Xenopus tropicalis: one gene and its partners. The protein of the gene in region 2 interacts with the protein of the main gene of each other region in a pairwise test. Links are inferred from orthologs where the notes say so. Each region holds a gene or a part of one and is shown on either strand. Other genes may lie near its edges.

What was found. The genes of interacting proteins can lie anywhere in the genome.
Region 1: the proteins of ubxn11 (region 2) and eukaryotic translation initiation factor 4E type 2 interact in binary tests that used the Homo sapiens proteins (3 or more experiments, as listed by UniProt). The two-hybrid records come from large-scale screens. The link is inferred for Xenopus tropicalis from reciprocal best matches to the Homo sapiens genes UBXN11 and EIF4E2.
Region 3: the proteins of ubxn11 (region 2) and rhobtb3 interact in binary tests that used the Homo sapiens proteins (3 or more experiments, as listed by UniProt). The two-hybrid records come from large-scale screens. The link is inferred for Xenopus tropicalis from reciprocal best matches to the Homo sapiens genes UBXN11 and RHOBTB3.

The regions. Positions count from the first base shown.
Region 1 is NC_030681.2:101,897,766-101,901,419, reverse strand, and holds part of eukaryotic translation initiation factor 4E type 2, read left to right. Parts: intron 1-913; coding exon 914-1,050; intron 1,051-3,300; coding exon 3,301-3,340; coding exon of another isoform or gene 3,341-3,384; 3' UTR 3,385-3,654. UniProt on the Homo sapiens protein: Recognizes and binds the 7-methylguanosine-containing mRNA cap during an early step in the initiation. Acts as a repressor of translation initiation.
Region 2 is NC_030678.2:77,353,572-77,357,325, reverse strand, and holds the end of ubxn11 (UBX domain-containing protein 11), read left to right. Parts: coding exon 1-21; intron 22-100; coding exon 101-188; intron 189-1,056; coding exon 1,057-1,274; intron 1,275-1,356; coding exon 1,357-1,434; intron 1,435-1,509; coding exon 1,510-1,624; intron 1,625-1,703; coding exon 1,704-1,807; intron 1,808-1,881; coding exon 1,882-1,949; intron 1,950-2,926; coding exon 2,927-3,052; intron 3,053-3,135; coding exon 3,136-3,292; 3' UTR 3,293-3,473; downstream 3,474-3,754. UniProt on the Homo sapiens protein: May be involved in the reorganization of actin cytoskeleton mediated by RND1, RND2 and RND3. Promotes RHOA activation mediated by GNA12 and GNA13.
Region 3 is NC_030677.2:177,118,624-177,122,277, reverse strand, and holds part of rhobtb3 (rho-related BTB domain-containing protein 3), read left to right. Parts: intron 1-2,988; coding exon 2,989-3,097; intron 3,098-3,654. UniProt on the Homo sapiens protein: Rab9-regulated ATPase required for endosome to Golgi transport. Involved in transport vesicle docking at the Golgi complex, possibly by participating in release M6PRBP1/TIP47 from vesicles to permit their efficient docking and fusion at the Golgi.

The DNA of each region.
Region 1 (3,654 bases), on a different chromosome or scaffold from region 2:
AGTGTGCTTCAAAGTGTAAGTAAATTACAAACTTCACCAGATTTCAAACACCCTACAGAGGTACGCCCACAGACCATCTGTTTGTGCATGTACTTATGGATGTCTAATATAAATAATCTTCAATTCTATGTTATAGATAGGCGGAACAAATACATCAACATAATCATTCAAGCAAGGGCAGATTATTATTAAGATTATCAATATGACTGTGGCCTACTTAAGGCCTGTGCCCAGTTTCACTCTCACATTTACCAGGTATCAGTCCTTAACTGGAAAGAAGAGAAATACATTTAGGAATTTCAATTAAAGGGGATGTTTATCTTTTTGCAAAGTCCTAACAGAGTGGTCAAGCTTTTCAAAAAAAAAAAAAAAACTGTACGCACTATAATTGTTTTTTGTTTTTTTTTAAAGTGATACAAAAGCCTATATATTGTATGAATGCTTCAAATATCTGCTTATTTGGATTCTGTCCATTCTCTGGTACTTAATTTAACACTGTTAGCCAACCAGATCAATGTGCAAAGGAATGACCATGGCCAGGCATGTACAATAGCACTAAATCCCTCTCTAGCTGAACTGGTGCACTTTGTCCCCTCCTGCTGCCAGTCTCTCCATCTGCACCAAACCTGAATTGTGTAATAAAAGTCATGGAAACACCACAGCAGTTTTTATCTCTAATAAAAACAAATTCACCTTAACTTTAACCTAGCCAGTAAGTTTGAGTTAGTAAAAATGTAGTCATTTGTAAGTATCAAGACTTTATGGTAGTATCTTACCAACTCTGTTCATTTTACCCATGCTTACAGTTAAAACACATTCGATCTAGACTAAGAGTTTTAATTCTTAATATGTTTGTGATTCAGGGATATGGTTATTAAGTAAAAAGAAATCGTTTTCTATATTGAATGCACAGGAAGACATCATATCTATTTGGAACAAAACTGCAAGTGATCAGGCAACCACTGCTCGTATTCGAGACACATTGCGGCGAGTCCTGAATTTGCCTCCCAACACTGTTATGGAATACAAAACGCACACAGACAGCATCAAGTATGTAGTTCTCAGCTTGTAAATCATGATGAAAAAATACATTTCAATTTTGATGGGCTAAACTATACTAAGGAATGCATTAAGAATAACTGTAGCTTATTGCTTCCCAAATTTACATATATGGGAAATTCAGTTTGTTTCAAGGGCCAGATTATATTAAAAATTACACAGGGAACTTTATGAAACTCTTTGAGGGCCACGTCCAACTCAAGAGGCTTCGGCTGGACTGCTTGGTATAGCTTCCTTCTTCAGCATAGGAGAAAGGCTCAGAACTGGATTGCTCAAAATTGTAAAATGTTAAATAATGTTAAAATAATCAAAAAATTTAAACTCTCAAGAAAAAGATACATGGTATGAAAGTTTGCATACAAAGTAAAGCTTGTCAATTCATTTACAACCTAATTGTATGTTTACATTGTTTCAGCAATCCATTGTTACTAGTTAGAGTAGTTTAGAATTATCAGCTGTTTATTGTTCCCTGTTCATTTTTAAAACTGCCATTATTCTTGATCAGTCAGATTCATCATACAAAGATTTAAAAGTTGCTTATATGTTTTTGGTCCCAGGTGCTGGCATATAATAAAAATTTGTCCTTATTTTATGTCACTTTTAACCAGTCATCAGAATAAAGTTCAAAGACATCCAGTTCCAGGATAAGTCATAACCGATAAAGAAAGTCTGACCAGTCAGCCACGCAGGATAGAGTACTCTGCTCAGTGGGAAATTAGGGTTGCCAGTTTCATGTCATGCAGAACAACCCATGTTGCAAAAAGCGTTTCTTCTGTACAACAGTACCTCTTTTAGAGGTTACTATAAATATAGATACCCCCACCTGAATATGGTATCCCTATCCAGCTGCACTAGAAAAACTGTTTTTTTGCATATTATGTGTTTAATCATTGTTAATGCTGAGGTCTGAGGTCTTTAGCCTGAGGTCTTGCAGCGGATCCTGATAGGCTACAAACTTAGGTTACTAAAAGAGAGGTTACAGATGCTTGCTTATGAAGGTCAGTTCTTAGGATAATGACAAATGGTGCATTTTGCTTCCCGCACCATTTCTAGCTTAGGTCGGTACACCCATTCAGGTTATCATCACTCAGAATGTGACATTGCTCATTTGCAAATTAATCACATGCCTAGTGGGCTACCAATGAGCTTGAAGTAGCTTGTGTGGCAAAACTCTGTGCGCTATTACCACTAGAGTGCTCTGTAGCTGTCCTACCAATACCTTTGAGGTATATAGCTAAAACTTGGGTTGCTCAGATCCCAGGGTAGGGATTCACACAGTGGGCTACACTAAAACACACATGGCATCTTTAAGATGGGAAAGGGCAAGGAGCCTTAAACAGTTTCCAAATCATTGAACAACACAAGGTTGACGTTTCCTCTACTGGCACTGGAGGGAAAAGTAATTCTTCATTTGTGTAATCTTTGGACCAAATGTAAAATTAATTAGTTAAAGGAGAACTGCAGCCATGCTAAAACCATAGGCACCCTCCAGAGGACAGCCTCCTCACTCCTGATCTGCACTACAGGATAGTCCCATTACAGTTTTGTTTGCTGTACTTGGTTATAAAAAGCAGAGGGGTTGGCGAGTGGCATCTTACGCCGTGTGATATTTTCTTCTCAGCAATCACTGAAGAAGAACATGCTCCTGGTGTGATCAGCAGCCCCACTGCACTACTTTTTTTATTTGTTTTGTATTTCTCTCTTGACTCAAGAGAGGTGGCTGTTGGACTGTAAACGAAAGAAATCCTTAGCCTTCAGTGCATTCTCCAGCTATAGTTTAGCAAGCCGTTACTTCTAATAAATGTCTATCAGTCCCAGTTAGTCTTATTTTTTAGATTAAAGTAAAGTAAAGTGCTATTTTTTTTTTTTCTTGTTTTTTGTTCTTATTTCTGGTTGCCCAGGGCCTGGGAAGAATTTCACGGCCTGGTGAACAACAGCGGCCGCTGAATGATTTCTCCCCCTCTCCCTGCATCCCACACCCAGCGGTAGGGCCTTTTTTAAAAACAATTCTTCCAAATAGTCACACATATGAAATGAGTGTTCCATTTTTTTGAAAGTATTTCCAGAAATGATCATTTTATGTGTGTTTGAATGTTTGCTTACAGCAAATAAAGTGGAGATGTATCCATGCACTGCCCCCTTAGCTATGCCAGGCCCACATTAGAGAGTTATTGAACAAAGCAGCATACTATGGTTTGTTTGCCATGTGCATGAGTTAATGGCTGTTTTTTTTATTTGCAGGGACAAAACAAGCTTCAGAAATACCAAAATTGCTTTGTGAACACAAGGATCTACTCCTGCTTTGCTGACCTGCTTTCAGTTTGAGTATTCTCAGTTTTAAGCACCACCATGTAGCTTTATGGCCGGTGGCCCAACGGTTCTTGGGAAAAATTCTATACAGCTTCAAATCTAGCTGGGATTGGGTCGAACTGTCTTTTTGTTGTTTTTGTTTTTTTTTAAGCCTGTTATCTACATCAATCCTCTTTCCAAGACCTATCCACTACAGCTGCATCCCTCACGGGAGGAAAAAGCATTGTACATTATTTTTGGAATCTGTTTTATTTCTTGGTTTTATTTCATTTTTAAATGATGGAA
Region 2 (3,754 bases):
AAAAAAATCTCTGAGATGGAGGTGAGTGTGTATGGTGTGCCATATTTTTTCTAATAGCTATGTAATAAGTGAGACCCAGAAATGTTTTGTTCCTCCCTAGCGTTTCCTTGGTGATTATGGACTGGTCTGGGTTGGGGAAAACAATGCAGATGTCTCACCTGAATCCACTGCCAGAACATGGAGCCCAGGTAATTGTAGATTATAACATTGCCACTGTAAACAATCTCCTTGGAAGCAGCGGTTCATAGCAGGCTATGAGAAGCTTCTATCTGTTATTCGGATATCACTGGAGTATGGAGTAGGGTCAGCCCTGAAAACTTCTGTTTAAACAGTGTAAATTCAGTGTATTAAGGGCTAAACTACATGGGAAGTAGTTTTCTAATGCTACAGTATCATTGATCAGATAAGTAGACAAGCCTGTACTCAGCGTTGCCAGGCAAATAGAACTCCTAATGGTTATTAATGCTAAGGTAATTAGAGCCAGGGACCTTAAATAATGAAGAAGTGAAATGTTTGCATACACCACAATTACTATTTTCTTTAATCCTAGGTTCTAGTATTTGAAATAAATGTCACTAGGCATTAACTTTTCCATATTATTGAAAAACCATGTTATAACACACCGATTGACAATAACTAAAAATATTGCTTCTCTGTATATTTACTAGGGATGCACCAAACCTATATTTCAGTTCCTTGGGTACGAATTTGGCTAAATACCGAACCAAGCCCAGAGCAGAAGCAGAAAATGCAGGGGAAGGCATGCTGCAAATATTTTTCAATACTTAGGGCTCAGATTCAGCTAGGCGGTTGGATTCGGCCATGTCATGCTAAAAATGGCTCCGATTTAGCTGAATCCCAAACTAAATCTGGGATTCGGCCCATCTCTAATATTTTTTACATGCTTTAAGTAGGAGTTCCACCTATTGTCAGGAATCAGTCCCTATAGCTTTAGCACTAGTGGTGTTTTCACTTTACACTTTTATTAAATAAATGGGTAATATGAGACTTTTAAAAATAGTTGTATTTATAGTAATATTTTTTTAATCTCCATAGGACCTTCTTCACCTACTTCTTTCCTACCAGACTTTGATCTAGTCCTGGAAAATTTAAGAGATTTGAATGTACTTGGAGGTGAGGGAGAATCGCATATTGAGTATCAAAAGGGAGGGGCCCGTTTGAGAGCACCCGAGTCTGTCCCATTGACTTTGTATAAAAACGGGATTATTATGTTCCAAGGGCCCTTTCGATCCTACAAGGAAAAATCCACACAGGTGAGGAAAACAGAAACAGTGGTATGTCAGATGGGAAAGAAGTTATTTTCCCTGAAATAATTTGTCCTTCATTGTGTTACAGCTATGTATAAGAGATATCATGGATGGCTATTTTCCCTCTGAACTGCAGGCCCGGTTTCCTAATGGAGTCACATTTCAGGTAAGAGAATTGCTGAAGAATACAGTCTACGCATGTAGGTGAAAAGGACTCTTGAAAAGTATCTTTGCCTTGCAGGTTACAGACAACCGCAATGTAATTTTCCAAGAGCAGCGGCGATGGGATGATTTTCCTGGTTCTGGTCAGACTATTGGGAGCTCAGGAAGTAATTTACAAACTAACAAAAAACCAGGTAAGGGCTCTCTTTAAAAATAAGGCAAGCCCTTAAGGGTTTATAGAACATTTTCATTGTAAATTCTGCCCACCAACAGGACCACAGCTTTCCACTGACCAGTTCTTGAATAGACTGCCTAAATCTGTAATTCGTGGGGGTAGAATTGTGCATGTACGAAGTGCTGTAAGAGAAGCTCTGCAGGTTTGTACATGACCATGGGAACGGAGGGTTTGGTGGAGCATCTTCAGACAGTTAGCTCTTGTTGTTTTTCTAAGGGGTCAGAAGAAAATGAGATGCCAAAAGAAATCTTAGTGGAATCTCCACAGCTATCAAAAGAGCAGAGGTACGGATAGTAAAATGTATTCCATAGGGTTAAAGGGGGGTAGTCATTACATAATATCTTTGCTGTTTTTGTTTTTAATATTTTTTTTATTAAATATAGTGTTTTCCTTTGTCTCATAAATCCAGTTGTCACAGTTATATTTATTCAAAGTCCAGCGTTTTTTATTGATGTCCTTCAGTTAAGCTTTCTTTCTCAAGCCAAGAATAAAACAGCTTTATTATTATTATTATTAATGTATTTTCACAAAAAGGTGTGTTGCTGTACATGGGCCCATAAAAGTTATCCCCATCAGCCCTAAGACTTTGGGTAGCCACATGGGGCTCCATCCTTTCTATAATGGCACAATTGTAAACAATGTAAAGAACACTGTTGGAATGTTGCTTTTGGCGAGTTTTAAAGGAATAGTTTAGTGTAAAAATGAAACTGGGTAAAATAGATAAACTGTGCAAAATAAAATAATAGTTTCAATATAGTTAGTTAGCCAAAGGTGAAATCTATAAAGGCTGGAGTGGGCAGATGTCTAACATAACAGCCAGAACTCTACTTCCTCCTTTACAGCTCTCTAAGCTATTATCAGTCAGTAGCCAATCAGTGATTTTGGGGGGGGGGGGGGGGGGCACATGGGACACAACTATTCAGTTAGTTTGTGAGTGCACAGGTCAGATTCAAAAGCAAACTAACTGAACAGTTATGTCCCATGTGGCCTCCCTAAAGTCACTGACTAACTAAGAGCTGAAAGCAGGAAATAGTGTTCTGGCTATTATGTTAGACATCTGCTCAATCCTGCCATTATAGATTATATTTTTCCATAACTATGTTAATATTATTTTTTATTTTGCGCAGTCTATTTTACCCAGTTTAATTTTTACACTGAACTGTTCCTTTAAGACAGTGTTGCCATCTCTCTCTCTCTCCTGATGTAGGATCACAACTATACAACAAGATTTAAAGAATATAAATATTTGTATTTGTTTTAGCACACAAGACAACATGGTAGTGTCAACTTTAAGGATCAGGTCTGAGTCTGGTGATAAAACATATAAAGTGCGAATGTTGTCTTCAGAAACCCTTGCCGACTTGCGAAATTACTTGTCCTCGTGCCGGTATGTGTTTTTTGTTTTTTTAAAATCCTATAACATATTTAGTCTGTTTATTTCTCATTCCTTATTATATATTTTGTAAGCAGGGCACCTGATCTCTCCTCCTACAACATTATCACCCCTTTCCCTTACTGTGTGTATGAAGATGATACATGTACCTTGGAAGAGGTTGGCCTCGTCCCCAATGCTTTTCTAGTTCTCAGAGCAAGAAGTGAGGAGGAACAAAAAAAGCAATCAGTCTGAGGAAAAAAGAAAGAATTTCATTTATGAATCTAAAGAACAGAAGAAACAAAGGGGCGGTGATCTTTTATCTCTTCCTGATGACTGTTCAACTTGAACTTTACAACATGCACTTTTATATGGTATAATTCTACAACTATACATGACCATAAAGGAACAATAAACTAATACTAACAGTTCTTTATCAGTATGCAGATTAAATTATGTTCTACTGTGAGTAAAACTTGATAGCTGGGAGGCAGATTTTGCCACTGAAAAGTCACCTGTTAGAAAATACATCTGCTAAAGCTATCCCATATAGTTGGGAGGTCATTTTTAACACTATTAACACAAGAAACATTCTTAACACAACAAGAAACATTCCCCTAAGTGTTGTACTCCATACAAATTTGCCATAACATCTTATAATTCCCACTAATTGCAGTAACGATGAATCTAGTCATTTGTTTATGCAAGAAACGTGCA
Region 3 (3,654 bases), on a different chromosome or scaffold from region 2:
GGAATTACTCAGTATTAATCTATCACTTACTGACTGAGCTGTATTTTGTATAAACGTGTTTACGTAGGTCTCCCATTTTTTGTCAGTCTGGCCGTCATCAGAAGCATGTGGAGGGGTTAGTGTTCCTGTAAGACTTACTTTGTGTCCTAGATACCCCAGCGCTCCAGCCACTCTGCCATCATGCATGGGTGTCATGGGTGTCACGCCTATTTTAGGTTTCTAGACATTCCATCCTTGCTTGGTTATTGAGTTGGTTTCCTTCTTTTATACTGGCTGTTATTTTTATGATCCTTTCTGGTTTTTACTCCTGCCTGTTTTGACTCTGTTTGCTGCTTGAGCTTCTGCCTGATTTTCTACCCTCAATCCTGTTCTGCCTGCCCTGACGTTTGGCCTGGTACTAGTACCTAGTACTATTCTAGACTTTACCAGCCTCTCTCCATCCACTGGCATTGTTGGACTGGCCCACTAGAGTATTGGGAAAATCCCAGTGGGCACCAACCTGTTGGGCCCTTCCAGCTGCCCACAAGCCTGTCACTGCCACTCCCTGCTCTGCTATGCTGCTTGCTTTGCTGTGAAATATAAAAAATGACTGCGCATTCCACCGTGAAAAGCATGGCCATCTTTAATTTGTAACAGCAAAGTAAGTAGTGCTGAAGTGGTGGGGGAGAGTGGGGATAGAGAAAAGAGGTGGCTGGGTGGTGGGCACTTTGGTGATAGGGACTGTGGCTCATTTTCTATGGCCGCTCTTCCTCTACTTTAGTAGGGCCAACTGCATCCTGAAAAATGCAATGCATGTAAAAATTTAATTTGTGGTTCAAAGCTCAACTGTCTTTAGATCCTGTTTTGCTTCATTTATATTAAAGCCCTCTTTATGTGTGGTTTTACGCAGGAGCTACTAAACCTCTTTCTATTGCCTACTTGCCCACTTCCCTGCATCCATTCCTATCTTGCTCAGACTCCTAGTCCACAACCTTCTTTCAATCTCTCTTGTATCATTTCCTCTTTACTACAGTAGATTCTTAAAAAGTGATCATTCTTGTTTATAATTTTTCATATTAAGGATTCATCGCCGTCTCCAGTTTTTGTATAATCTTGAAATTTTAAGAGCATTTTTCCCCCAAAATGTGTCTTTATCCTTCTTTAGCTTTCTGCTCTGTTGATCTCCTCATTAATTCACAACTCTCCAGATGTTTGCAGCAAAGCCATTTTATAATTTTATCATACCTAACTAGTTTCTATAGTACTGTATCTGGCATTTGACTATGATCTTTACCTATGTGCTACCTCTGTAAATGTATATGCTTATATACTATTCCCGTACTGTATATATTCTCCAATTTTACAAAAAATCTATGCCTGGTCTTAGTATCTTAAAGAAAGGAAACAAAACCCAACCATATAAAAAAGAGCACGCAGACCTTGCTTAATTTACAACAAAGGTTCAAACTGGACAAGTAACCCATCCTTAACCCCAACCTGCCCATCCCCTAACTCAGTGCTGTCCAACTTCTACGGTGCCGAGGGCCGGAATTTCTCTAGCATACATGGTGGAGGGCCACTAATGGAAGCCAGTTTTGACCACTCCCCTTTTTGAAACCACACCCACTTCAAACCACACCTATTTTATCACAATGGTGGTAGCACAGCAAAATCCCAAATGCTTGGTCCTTACTGTGGGGATATCAACCATCATTCATATGTGAAAGAATTATGTCATATTAAGATATACCCTTAAATTCCATATGCCTCCTCCTCCCCTGTGGATAGCACAGCAACCCCCAGTACATAATTACACACCTTAGGGACCATTTAATGGCTATTTCCAACTGCTAACAAACTCCCACAACAAACCCCTGCCAGGTTCACCTCCCACAAGCAGCATAGGGCAAGCAGAGTATGGCACACAAAGGCAGCATTCTGCCTGCCCTATGCTGTCTGTGTGTGCCATACTCTGCCTGTCCTACCCTGCCTGTGTGTGCCATACTCTGCCTTCCCTATGCTGCTTCTGTGTGCCATACTTTGCCTGCCCTACCCTGCCTGTGTGTGCCATACTCTGCCTGCCCTACCCTGACTGTGTGTGCCATACTCTGCCTGCCCTACCCTTCCTGTGTGTGCCATACCCTCCCTGACCTATGCTGCCTGTGTGTGCCATTCTCTACCTGCCCTATGCTGGCTGTATGTGCCATACTCTGCCTACATTACCTATGTCTGAGGTGTGAAGAAGTGAACAATGGGAGTGATTACAGTCTGAGCCTGAGGTGTGAACACTGCAGGGGGTGAACAATGCAGGTATTAAAAGGTGTGAAAAACACAGGGGATTACATTTTTAAACAATACAGAGGGATTACAGCCTGAATCTGAGGTGAGAACCATGCAGGGGGCCAGTTAATCTCAGTACTGATACCATTTAATGCTTACTCAAGGTAAAACATCAAAGCAGCCAGACAGGTGGGGGGCCACACAGGGGGGGGGGCGCATGCGGCCCGCGGGCCGCCAGTTGGACAGCACTGCCCTAACTAATGTGTTATTCAGACATTTGTGTGTTCCCTTGTAGGTTACACTGCAGTTTATGGATTACAATTACAAAGAAGATCTAAGCAGTTATATAAGAATACCCTAGACACAAGTACTTATTGAATGAGGCCTAAGTGGCTCCTAATGCTCTAGCCCCCTAGCAGAGTTCACAGCTTGGCTTCAACAGAGCAAACTCTGACTGTTTTTCTGTTAATGGAGTTTTTTTTAATGTACCTATTCATTAGCAATTGAGTACCTGACTAGAGAGAGTAATTAGTAATTTTTGGCAAGTTTTTAAGTTATTAGCAACATTGCAAATAACAGGCCAGCCCTTGCGATGCTCTTTTATGCCAGCTGTACTATCCGTCAGCTGCTGGAGTGATAGAAACGTTACCTGCAAAAACGTTTGTTACTTAGCTTGGTTAAACACATATCCTTATCTAACGCATAGCCTTTATCTATTTTATTTTCTAGTTAGAATACTTCATAATTCAAACTCTGAACACAAAGACTTCTGCAAAATGCAAAAAAAAGAAGAATAATCAGGTCCTTAAAGTTAAACCCCCTAATCTTGAACAGCCAGGTAAGTTCACTCCATCAGGTTATCCTATTTCTCCCTATATGTGAACAAGACTGCCATGAGAAATCACAGGGCTGTGTACAAGATAATGATTCGGACCCCCTCCCAAGAGCTAGAAACCAAAACACAAAGTAGTAGCATTACTGACATATTGTACTCCGAAAGAACATGCTGCCCCAGCCCTGTGGAAGTGACAAGTAACTGTAGGAACAGCATATGTGGAGTTAGGGAGTATGTGGGGTAGGAACATAATGGAATATGTGTGGGTAGGGGAAAAGGGCTCGCACATGCTCTCCCCTACAGTGACTCTTTCATGCATTCCACCATAAGTAACACATCTGTTAACTGATGCAGTCCCCTTGCAGTAGAATTTATGAAAGAGTCACTGTAGGGGAACGGACATGGCAGATACATGACAGTCACATAGCAATCGCCAATGATGTCACCAAATGGGTCCTGGCTGCTTTCTTCACAGGGTTATGTGAGTATATTGTAGGTGGCCTCTGACCACTATTGGTACTTGGGGCTACCTCAAGTCACAAAAGCTACATGGGGGCACA